Linked DNA regions of Saccharomyces cerevisiae S288C. The protein of the gene in region 4 binds, or shares a complex with, the protein of the main gene of each other region. Each region holds a gene or a part of one and is shown on either strand. Other genes may lie near its edges. The genes, in order: MRPL23, MRPL10, MRPL36 and MRPL4.

Region 1 (2,817 bases), on a different chromosome or scaffold from region 4:
AGAGATTTTTAAGAAATAATGTTGTAACTCTAAGAAAGTAAAATAATAAAAAACATTTCATTTGTGCTGATCTTGCCAAAAAAAGGGTAAACAAGTAGGCAATAGTAATAAAATAAGAATGAAGCATTTCTTTTAATAAGCAGAGAGAACTTTCAAGCATTCAAAAAACACAAAAATAATGATGAATAAAATGGGACTCACAGTGTTTATTTATAGTCCTTGTTTCGCATTTTACCAAATTAAAATTTAATTTTATCAAGACATATTAATGAACTTTAGCGGAAAACCTTAAATATCCAAGTCATAAATAATGACTTATGTAAAAAGTTATAAGAAAAATATACGGTGTTCATTTTGGAACAATGTTGCTGTTACACACTGTTAAATATATTTAGTATTCATAAAAGAAAGAAGATTTTAATACGCGTTTTGATTAAAACTACATAACAGATAAATATATACATGGATTGAAGACTGCAAAAAGGATATATAAAAAAATGACAAATAATTTCAATAAGCTATTTCAATTGGTTAAAAATTGATTCTTTAAGAGGCTCTGGTATTGATGATTGCTCATGGGCAAAGGCAGTAATATTTTGTTTATAAGGGTTTTCACTTCCATCGAAAACTTTTAAGCGGTCTAACCGTTGCTTTCTCAATTTATTTTTAGGCAACATACCGCTAACTGCTTTTTTCAAAATTTCTCCAAATCCTTTATCGGCAACAACCTTGTTCATTGTCTGTAACTTTAGCTGACCAGGTCTACCTGAATGAGACCAGTAAGTCTTCTGCTCAAATTTCTTACCTGTTACACGGATTTTTTGGCAATTAGTCACTACTACGTAGTCTCCACAGTCTTGTGACGGATGATAGACCGGCTTATGTCTACCAATTAAGGTAATTGCAATTGCTGAAGCCAATCTACCCAATGTCCTCTTATCACGGGCAACGTCGACATGGTGCCAAAGGCGCGCAAAAGCCAAGCCACTGTGTCCAATCTTCTGCGACATGAATAGGCTATTGTTGATGCTGGTATTGCTTTCTTTTTCTATATGATATCAGTGTATTCATAAGGTCTTTCTCTTTTACTTATTTAGAACGTTTTAAAGATCTCTAAACTACAAGGAAGGCTCCATGCGGGTAACAATCAACATTATAACGATAATTAACTAAACCATAACCGTCTAAGTAACCATAGCGTGCGGTGATTCTTCGCTAGATGGAACTCATGTCTTACTAGTAGCGTGTTTGGTACGTGCAATATAGAGCAAAACATTATATAGACATCGTAATAGCTTTTTATGTGCGGACTGTAATGTTTGTAAGAAGTAAAACCAGTCACTAATATAGTGAAAAAAAGTCAACTTATCGATCTATGTATCTCATAGAAGATGTATTGATTTAATATAACTTATAAAGGTGCTTCTACAGTAAGGTGCTGAGAGGACTTACTATGTCGGCAACAAGTTCAAATCTGAAGCTCTGAGGATTTCGCGAGATGCGCACAATCTGAAGTAATATAAAGATGAAAACACAATACAAAAGGCCTGAAAATCTATATGTCCGATAAGATATCATAGTATTCTTACTCGCAAGCACACATCAGGTACTTGGAAGTGTATGATGAGGTATCAATGGTGGCTTTATTTAGTATATGCCATCGGCCTAATGCTATGCCTAGGCCCGTCGTATATTCATCCAGATGAACATTTCCAATGCATCGAGATTTTGGCTATGCAGTTCATGAAGGTCAAAGGTACCATCCCATGGGAATTTAAATCAAAATTTGCTGCTAGGAGTTACGGCCCCCTATTATTGGTTTACGGGCCTTTGTTCACTATTTTAGAATCTTTTCCCGAAATTCAGGACAACCCAGCGTTAATTCTGTATTCGATGAGACTACAAAACTATGTGATGTACCTATTGTGCTATCATTTTTTAATACCTAAATTAATAAGGGATGAGAGAAAGGCCGTACAATTCATCAAAAAAAGTCTACTTTTAACTTCTTACGTAACCTGGACGTACCAAACACACACGTTTTCCAATTCCATAGAAACGCTGGCTTTAATCTCAACTTTAACTGTAATGGAAGATATGGTAAACGAAAAAAATATTCAAAGAAGTAATTTCAAAAATTCGGTTATATTGGGACTTATATTTAGTTTTGGTGTTTTTAATAGAGTTACTTTTCCTGCATTTATTTTCTTACCATGTTTGATATTATTCTGGAAGTTTTACCGGGTCCATTGGAAATCCTTTTCTTTACTTTTACTTTCATTTTCATTTTCCTCGTGTCTATTTGTTCTTATTGATACAAATATTTATAACAACGGAAAGGGATTTGTCATTACGCCCTTGAATAACCTGAAATACAACCTCAATGTCCAAAATTTGCAAGTACATGGATTACATCCAAGATACACCCATCTGCTGGTCAATTTACCTCAAATAGTTGGCCCAGTATTGCTGCTAGCGATTTTTTCCGGTTACAAACTCGATAAATTATCTACTTACGCAATCATATCTGGCCTGCTTTTTCTTTCATTCTTTCAACATCAAGAATTAAGATTCCTTGTACCGCTAGTGCCACTACTCGTGACAAACTTAAACTGGACACCTCTGAGTTCCACGTTAGTAAACAAGAAAATTTTCAAGGGAACTTGGCTTCTTTTTAACATAATCATGGCGTTCATCATGGGAATTTCACATCAAGCAGGAATTATCCAATTTTTGGGAGATTACTTCCACTTTCGTACCGAACAAATGGGCGTTCACATATGGTGGAAAACATACTCACCACCCACCTGGATGTAT
Region 2 (3,056 bases), on a different chromosome or scaffold from region 4:
CCCACACATATGTGTTTTAGGAACGTTTAGGATAAGGAATCGTCATACTGACGTACCTCATTTTGAGATACAACAAATCATATATTATAAGACTCCATGGCCAAGTTGGTTAAGGCGTGCGACTGTTAATCGCAAGATCGTGAGTTCAACCCTCACTGGGGTCGTTTATTTTTTTTGTATTTGTGCTTATTTACTAAATAACCATTTCACCCTGTTATAATAATGCTTAAAAGAAGAATGTAGTTTTTCTCTTTTCCTTTAACTGCTTTACTTCTCCCGAAAAAGCAAGATGCAATCTTTTAATATGTTTGAGTTTGCTTAAAGTATATTCACAAAAAAGAAAATAAAAGTTAAAAATTTCTGAAAATCAGGACCTTATTCGATAGTTGGTCATAAATTGACTGAAAAATAGAATAATTTCGGACACCAAATGAATCATTAACAAGACAATATCTTAAGGTATGTACAAGTGAGAATATTACTTATATATAAAACGGTTAACAATTTTTTAGTGGTCCAAAGCCTTGATGTTCATGACTTTAGAATTAGACACAACTGGCACCCAATCCTTCTCTGGAGACAGTTCTTCTAGCTCTATTTCTAATGAGCTCTTTTTTACATTCTGTTTTAAAAAGTGTCTAGAACCCTTATTTTGAGCTTCTTTGATATCTTGTAAGAGTTTATCTTTTTCCATTACTAGGTAACCTCTTTTCTCTTCTTTACTATAGAAATCAATATCCCTTCTTTTCGTGGGTCTAGCCTGTAGTGGTACTCTTCCCCTCTTCTCAAGAAACCACTGGGGGTTGAGATGTGCCCTTAGACCCAACGGTGTGTAGTAACGAGCTGTAAACTTACCTCCTGCTTTTTCAATAGCCGCAATAGCCTTAGCGGATGCTCTAGAAGCCTCCAAAGCAATCGGTAGATTGTAGTGGAACTTTCCGCTGGCTAGAATTTTAACTCCGTACTTTATGGGACCAGTTACCAGACCAAGCTTTCTCATCTTATTCATGTCTAAAACCTCGCCTGGTTGCAAATGAAGCCTATTTTTATCATGAAACCATTGAATGCGTTTCAAGTTTAATTCCTTTAATGGTTTGGCGCCAACGTTGGTAAATCCAATTTTAGGAAATAGCTTGTAAATTGGAGTTTGACCACCTTCAAACCACGATTTTACTTTACCACGCGCCTTTTGACCCTTTTGACCACGCCCTGATGTCTTACCTAAACCGCTGGAAGGACCACGCCCAAGTCTTTTGAAAGACTTTGTAGAACCATCTGACGGTTTCAATTGTCCCAAAATCGAAACATAACGATAACTTTGAAATGCTAATACCGGCGATTTGAATAAACCTCGGAAAAAAATATCGTTACCAGCTACGCTAGTTAACATCATGGACGGAACAAAAGTGTTTATTAGTTTGCGACCGATTACGGTTGTAAAACTATTTCTTAATCCTGTTTGCCTTTCCGCTTTCATCAACTTCTAAAGGTCATGAGCTTTAATTTTACGCACTGCGTTTAGTGCAGTTACCTGGAGTTTCAGCCGGGTAAGAAAACTATACGATTGCCAAATAGAAAAACGGATATAAAGATAGTAGCTGTGAATAGTAGCTTTGTATAGTACATAAAGGTACCTTATCTAACATTGCTTGCGACGCAGAATACGCAAAATATACTGTTTAATTGCAATCAGGAGTTTGCTACGGTATTTGGTATAATCGGAACTCATATTGTCCTACGTTCACCGAGACCAATGAACGCACAATAAAATGGATACTTGGAATGCCCTACCCAAAATATGAGCTGCGTTTGTTTTGTGAAAAACGAAAAGTAATTAAGTTGTTTTGCAGAAGTGTGAATAATTGGGGGACGCCATTTGGTTTCTCTCTTCTGATTGATTAAAGTTAATTTCGGCACAATAACCCAATGACTGGCTAGGAAACTTCTCGATGCATCCGTGATCTCCCAAGGACGAAATGGTTTTTATCACGTCCTAACGACATCATATGTCCTCGAGGAGAACTTCTAGTATAGTATTTATTAACAATGGAATCCCAACAATCATCAAATTATTCACCAAATATACACAGATTCTTATACTAACTAAAGTAAGAAGATTAGGATTTCCATACTCATTTTGTTAAGTAGCACTTGTATATCCGGTTTTCTCAAGTTCTGAGCTTCTATGGCCAAGTTGGTAAGGCGCCACACTAGTAATGTGGAGATCATCGGTTCAAATCCGATTGGAAGCATATTATTTTTATTCTACGGTAAACATGCCTGATGGTGATTTGAGACAGACCCCATTGCCTCAGATTTGTGAAGAATAGAAAATGTGTACATTCATTTTGATAAACTATACATATACTTAACTTTTTAACATGATAAATCAATATTGATATGGTCGGTACTGTTCACTTTATCTATATTTTTTTTCTTTCGTGCAATAATCGTCGGCTTTAATAATATTATACATACAAAGGGAAAATGAAGGAAAGAAATATGAAAGGATGAATAAGTCTTTGATATGAATATGTAGTGTTGGTATCTAAACCTAGTCAGCGCAAAGAACTATTATTGGAATCCTTTGCATCATCGTAATCATCATCACCATCTGAGACATTACTCCCAATATTTGAACTCACATTATCGGGGTTGACAATGTGTAGTTGTCTTTCTTCCATCATATCGGGCAGCGAAGTAGCACTGAACCTTTGGTTCCCGTTATAGATCGAAGGAGGCTCCTCGTACACTACCGAGGGAAAGTGACTTCTTTTGCTGATATTATGTGCATCACCAGTAATAATAGAATCTCTGCCGCCCGGCGCCCTTGTCGGCAGATCATAAGTGGCAAAAGTAGACGCTGTATTCTTGGACAATGCTGTATTATTCCTAGAGGGTATGTGCCAGTTAGTGCTCGAAGCAGACGGTGGAATAACAGGGTTAGCGTCAGCATCACCCAGTGAGTACGGCTGGTACTGCTTTGTCTCTTCCAAGTCCACATGCTGAGAAGATTGGCGACGTTTTTTCCATACGAAAAAGAATAACGCCAGAGC
Region 3 (2,635 bases), on a different chromosome or scaffold from region 4:
TTGAAAATCAACACGAATGCAAAAAGGGAAACTAAAATAAAAGAAATCCTCAAAAGTAATTGAACAGATTTCGAGTCCTAATTGCAAGTAAAATTATGTATACAAAGTACGTGATAAGTATCGCAGCAGTGATTCAACACTCGAGAAGAGTAAAAATTTTCAATTTTTTTCCACTGCGCTGAAATATTACGAGGCGTAGAAAATGATCACTACAATGCCGTTGCTGCTTATTGCAGCGTAAGTGAGCTTCATTCACAGACCATTTGCCTCGATAATCCATGAATCATATCTGGTTCATATTATGTTTGTAAATGTGTGTCTTGTTGCACTTAATCTATCGCGATAGCGCCAAACCAAGCGTTCGCAGAATCTTCGTTGTCAATATATACATATGTAGACGTATGTGTATATGTTGCGGTATATACAAGGCTGTTTATGTAGTCTTCAAACAGATGCGATTGAGATCTATGTCCCAAAAGGAATATAAATTGGTTCGAGAATAGAAAAGTAAGGGGAGCAAACACTATTCACTTCTTGTCTCTCTTCTTACTGGCCAACTTACCTGATTTGATCTGTTGTTCACTATCGTCTAACAGAGATAGATAGTCATCCATACCGAACGCTTTTTCAGAAACGTCTTCCTTCTCCTCCTTTTTAATCTGTGTTTTCTTTTTATTTTCTTCAGATAGTTCAACTGTTTCAGAGCTTGAATTTGGGGTCGTTGAATCGACAGAAAACAAAGAGCTATACCTCTTGTTAAATCTGTCCAAGCTACCACCAGAATTAGCATCCACAACGACTAGGTCATCCCTGCTAGGATTCCACAGCGGATTATTTCTCTGGTCTTGAATTAATCTAATTTCACCCTTTGGATATTGGGATCTCCGGATAACTACACTTCCATCACTCAACTCCATTTTGACATTGAATTGGTGATAAATAGCCGGTCGTGACTTCCCCAGTTGAATTTTTTTTGCAGGCCTTCTTGGCAAAGTAATTCTTGTAGAACCAGGATATGACCCTGTGGAAGCAAATCGCTTCGCAAATATAGACTTCAACATTAGGAGTGAACAAAACGTGTGTTCGTTTGCGTTGGTACCCGTTCTTTCTGGAGGCATTCTTAACTTTTAGGAATAATAATGATACCCTTTCATTTTAGTTATTTGATTTTGATGCATTTTGCACGAGATAATCGCTCTTTACGGTTTGGGGACAAAACTCAGAAATATCACATACGTAGTTATGGTTTTATTGCACATTTGGCATATTTTGATATTGAAATAAAAGAAAACCTACTTATTACAGATCGACTTCATCAACAAATCCCTTGAGCTCGCTTTTCATTGTTTCCGCGGTTTTAGGATCTAGTTTAGCTATTTTATTTATGATATCTTGGAAGCTCGCTGTTTTAACATCAAAACTTTCTTGTTCTTCTTCATCTGCATCAACGTCATCCACGTCATCGTCTATACTTGCAGGCACCTTCAAGTTCTGATCAGTGTCCATCTCTTCATTTTCCAAAGCAGCGTCGTCTGGCTCTTCAGTTATGGCGCCATTATCATCAAAATCATCACCAGCAGCGATACCCTTATCCTCCTCTATGGCATTTGAGGACATTTGACTACCTGCATCCATATTTATGTCCCCATCAGCATCTTTATTGGTGTTAACACCCATTCCCTCTTCTGAGTTCTTGTTTTCGGGTACCATGGATTCTTTAACAAATAACATTGTCTTGAAATACTTCAACTTGTATTTATTATACTCATAATTTCCTTGAACCATGCAACCAAGTTCGTATTTTACTATCCTTCTTATCTTGACCAAGTCTAATTCTTTGAACCATCCAGTTAGTTCATTCGCCTTATCTAAATATTCGACGTTGTGAAAAACTTCTGCAATGTTTGGCTCACCAATTAATAAATCAATCTGCAACATCAGGTACCACGGTATTCTTTTTCCATCAAATTTGAACCTGCTGTCAATACCGCCTGGAGTGTCTGATTCGAATACCAGGGGTGGTGGCTTTGGTACATTCTTTTTCACTATGGGAGAAGATAGTAATTTCCTTTCAATCTTAAAATATTCTGTTTGATATTGGGCGTATTCCACTGAACTTCTGGGGTCTATACCAAATTTGATATATGTATTTCTCCAAGGCCCCATTGTGAAACGATAAGATATGAGTGCCAGCGCTATCTTCATAGTATGGTGTATCTTCTTCGGGACAATCCCATCAAGATGTCTTTTAACCCAAATTGGACGTCTAGCGAAGAGCTCTCTCAAAATTTTCAAGCATTCCTCCAGCGATTCATAAAATTTAGAGTCACTTTTAGTGCCTGGATAGACTTTTGTTTTCTTCGCGACCTCAAAATCGTACAGGACTTGTTCATGAGCTTGGGACGGTATAACTGTCTTATCACTAAGATCATGAACAAACAACTGATAGTTTTTGATATATGTTCCCTTCACTTCTGTGACACCGTTTTTTTTTTTTTTCGCAAATGGATTAGCTTTATATTTATAAAGCAGGGGGAAACCAACCATTGATAACTTAGGAGGTGGCGGCAGTTGGAAATCTGTACTCGGAATTTTAACGCTACGGTCTAAGATCAAATTCCCGATGTTTTCCTGA
Region 4 (3,459 bases):
ACAACACCAATGTCCGAAGCTACCCTCTCCTCCAAGCAAACCATTGAATGGGAAAACAAATACTCCGCCCACAACTACCACCCCTTGCCCGTCGTTTTTCACAAGGCTAAGGGCGCACATGTGTGGGACCCGGAGGGTAAGCTGTACCTCGACTTCCTGAGCGCTTATTCTGCCGTCAACCAGGGCCATTGCCATCCTCACATCATCAAGGCTTTGACGGAGCAAGCACAAACACTAACATTGTCCTCCAGAGCGTTCCACAACGATGTTTACGCGCAATTCGCCAAGTTCGTGACCGAATTCTTCGGGTTCGAAACCGTTTTGCCCATGAACACCGGTGCAGAAGCCGTGGAAACTGCTTTGAAGTTGGCCAGAAGATGGGGGTACATGAAGAAGAACATCCCTCAAGATAAAGCCATCATTCTGGGTGCCGAGGGTAACTTCCACGGGAGAACCTTCGGTGCTATCAGTTTGAGTACCGACTACGAGGACTCCAAGTTGCATTTCGGGCCTTTCGTGCCTAACGTTGCCAGTGGTCACTCCGTGCACAAGATCAGATACGGCCACGCAGAAGATTTCGTCCCTATCTTGGAATCTCCTGAAGGTAAGAACGTTGCCGCCATCATTCTAGAGCCAATTCAGGGTGAAGCCGGTATCGTCGTGCCCCCCGCAGACTACTTCCCAAAGGTCTCCGCATTATGCCGTAAGCACAACGTCCTATTGATCGTTGACGAAATTCAAACCGGTATCGGTAGAACCGGTGAGTTGCTTTGCTACGACCACTACAAGGCAGAGGCCAAGCCTGATATTGTTTTGTTAGGTAAGGCTCTCTCAGGTGGTGTTCTTCCCGTCTCATGTGTTCTGTCTTCTCACGACATCATGTCTTGCTTTACCCCAGGATCTCACGGTTCTACTTTCGGCGGTAATCCTTTGGCTTCCCGCGTTGCCATCGCCGCCCTCGAGGTCATCCGCGACGAGAAGCTGTGCCAAAGAGCCGCCCAACTGGGTAGCTCTTTCATCGCCCAATTGAAAGCTCTCCAAGCCAAATCTAACGGTATAATCTCTGAGGTGCGTGGTATGGGACTGCTTACCGCCATCGTAATCGACCCATCCAAGGCCAATGGTAAGACCGCTTGGGACTTGTGTCTATTGATGAAGGATCACGGCCTCTTGGCTAAGCCCACCCACGACCACATCATCAGATTGGCTCCTCCTTTGGTCATCTCCGAAGAGGACTTGCAAACCGGTGTCGAAACCATTGCCAAGTGTATCGATCTGTTATAATATTAATACGCATTTTTTTTATGTTTTCTCGTTTCTTTTCTTTTTTTTGTTTTATATCTTACACATTTTTAATATACTAAAAGTAAAATAAAAAAATACGTACTGTTTCCCTTTGTTTTCTCCTCCTCTTTGCTTATATCTCCACTGCGCCATCGTCATCTTCAGAGGGCGTGCTGATTAGAGTCACTGTGTCTCCTCTGATGAACACCATTTCACATCGTCTTTCGGACTCACTCAACTCCTCGTTGTTTAATTGGTATATGGTCTCTACTGCATCACTCAGCACGATGTTGCAGTGTGAGTCGAACGCTTGCAGTGTGCCCACCAGCGTCCTGGCCCCGCGCAGCTTGATGTACACCCTCTCATCGAGATTGAGTTTCAATAAATCCAAAGGTGTCTCCATTTTCTTGAGTGTGCGTGATGTTGTGTGTGTGTGTGTATTTATCTGCGTGTCTCTCCCCTGTTGTATTGGTTGCTAGAATGGATGGAAACATCCTGCCTCTTGTTTGTTCAAACCTCAGCTTTCTTGCTTTTTTTCTTCTTTCAATATCGCGACCTATCACACAGCACGGATAGCCAAAAGGGCGCATCAGGAAGAAGAAAAAATATCATTTCAGCAAACTAAAAGAATTGCCCTGAAAGCTATCGAGCCCTGGTAAGAGAGTACCATTCTATCTCTGCGGCTAGAAAAAAATACCATAAAAATATAATAAAAATGTGGAAGAGATCGTTCCACTCCCAAGGAGGGCCCCTGCGTGCCAGAACAAAGTTTACCAAACCAAAGCCAAAACAACCGGTGCTTCCCAAAGACAAAATAAGACCGCCCACTCAATTGACTCATCACTCCAACAACCTGAGGATTACCGAACCAATCCCACCAACAACCTCAAACCTGCGCTGTCCCGACGACCACCCGCTGTGGCAGTTCTTCTCCAACAAGAAATTCATCAGGTCCGCCGACGACTTGCCGCCTTCCAGCCATATCAGACCCTGGAGCATCCCAGAGTTGAGGCACAAGTCCTTTAACGACTTGCATTCCCTTTGGTACAACTGCCTCAGGGAGCAAAATGTGCTTGCTCGCGAAAACCATCTCTTGAAAAACATTGTTGGCTCCACGCATGACGAATTCAGTGAGCTCTCTAACTCTATCAGAACCACCATGTGGCAAATAAGACATGTACTTAACGAAAGAGAGCTGGCCTATAGCGCTTCACGCGAATTTTTACAGGATGAATCGGAGAGGAAAAAGTTCTTGGATACTTTGGCCAACGATTACTTCTTGAACAAGGATATCCCTGATGACGAAGTCGCCTCCATGCTCACACGATTCCAGTTGGCCATTTTCGGCATATCGGAAACCATCCAGGATAATACAGTCGACATTAACTTCATCGACGGGATCAAGTTCTTGGCAAACTTAAAACTACAGCGGTTCAAGGACTCCAATGACCTCATATCCGAAATATCACAAGAACCGATCACAGACGTGGGCGAGTCGTTCATCTTATTCACTTCCGACTTCGAACCTCATGCCGTTCAAGAGGCTTGTGTCGCCATCAAAGACCTGAGAAAGTCCCCAGATAATAAAGTCCCTAAATTAGACGAACTCCCCACCGTGAGAAAATACTTGAAACAGCTAATTCATGCAAGCTCCGTGGAGCAAGCAACTGCATGATTCCCGTGGGCTTCCTACCCTCTCTCCTGTAAATATATATATATATATATATCCACACACACTCGCACATACATACACACATACATACACCTTTATATAGCTATACGCTGTATGTATTCAGAAATTAGTCACGTTGTGGAAAATCTCCCTAGCAATGCCGCCTACCTTACTCTTATTGTCGTTCTGTCCGTCCAGTGCGTACTTGTCTTTCACCAGGTCACGGGCGCTTAGCTCCAATTCTAGTGTGCTCCATTGCGATGTAACAATTTCGACTTCCTCAAGGGGGCAAACCTCCAGTAAGCGGCCCAAGATGCTCATCTGCAGAACAATTATCTCTGTGGGAATTTCATTATCCACCCAATTTGGATCGACAAACTTCCCCATTTGATAAAATGTTAACCAATGCTCATCGCCCAACGCCTTCATCATATGTTGGCCCGCTTCTTGACAAATTTCAAACACTTGCTTGCCCAATTCGTATGCTGTGCCAAAATCTAAAT

What was found.
Region 1: MRPL4 (region 4) and MRPL23 share a complex: the UniProt entries of both Saccharomyces cerevisiae proteins name them as parts of the mitochondrial large ribosomal subunit.
Region 2: MRPL4 (region 4) and MRPL10 share a complex: the UniProt entries of both Saccharomyces cerevisiae proteins name them as parts of the mitochondrial large ribosomal subunit.
Region 3: MRPL4 (region 4) and MRPL36 share a complex: the UniProt entries of both Saccharomyces cerevisiae proteins name them as parts of the mitochondrial large ribosomal subunit.

The regions. Positions count from the first base shown.
Region 1 is NC_001147.6:610,192-613,008, reverse strand, and holds MRPL23 (mitochondrial 54S ribosomal protein uL13m MRPL23), read right to left. Parts: upstream 1,011-2,817; coding exon 519-1,010; downstream 1-518. Other genes in the region: DNA-directed RNA polymerase II core subunit RPB2, read left to right, coding at 1-12; SMP3 (glycosylphosphatidylinositol-alpha 1,2 mannosyltransferase), read left to right, coding at 1,621-2,817. UniProt on the Saccharomyces cerevisiae protein: Component of the mitochondrial ribosome (mitoribosome), a dedicated translation machinery responsible for the synthesis of mitochondrial genome-encoded proteins, including at least some of the essential transmembrane subunits of the mitochondrial respiratory chain.
Region 2 is NC_001146.8:102,626-105,681, forward strand, and holds MRPL10 (mitochondrial 54S ribosomal protein uL15m MRPL10), read right to left. Parts: upstream 1,478-3,056; coding exon 509-1,477; downstream 1-508. Other genes in the region: WSC2 (Wsc2p), read right to left, coding at 2,559-3,056. UniProt on the Saccharomyces cerevisiae protein: Component of the mitochondrial ribosome (mitoribosome), a dedicated translation machinery responsible for the synthesis of mitochondrial genome-encoded proteins, including at least some of the essential transmembrane subunits of the mitochondrial respiratory chain.
Region 3 is NC_001134.8:483,443-486,077, forward strand, and holds MRPL36 (mitochondrial 54S ribosomal protein bL31m MRPL36), read right to left. Parts: upstream 1,062-2,635; coding exon 528-1,061; downstream 1-527. Other genes in the region: transcription factor TFIIIC subunit TFC1, read right to left, coding at 1,300-2,635. UniProt on the Saccharomyces cerevisiae protein: Component of the mitochondrial ribosome (mitoribosome), a dedicated translation machinery responsible for the synthesis of mitochondrial genome-encoded proteins, including at least some of the essential transmembrane subunits of the mitochondrial respiratory chain.
Region 4 is NC_001144.5:1,012,492-1,015,950, forward strand, and holds MRPL4 (mitochondrial 54S ribosomal protein uL29m MRPL4), read left to right. Parts: upstream 1-1,999; coding exon 2,000-2,959; downstream 2,960-3,459. Other genes in the region: CAR2 (ornithine-oxo-acid transaminase), read left to right, coding at 10-1,284; U4/U6-U5 snRNP complex subunit LSM3, read right to left, coding at 1,418-1,687; SEC39 (Sec39p), read right to left, coding at 3,077-3,459. UniProt on the Saccharomyces cerevisiae protein: Component of the mitochondrial ribosome (mitoribosome), a dedicated translation machinery responsible for the synthesis of mitochondrial genome-encoded proteins, including at least some of the essential transmembrane subunits of the mitochondrial respiratory chain.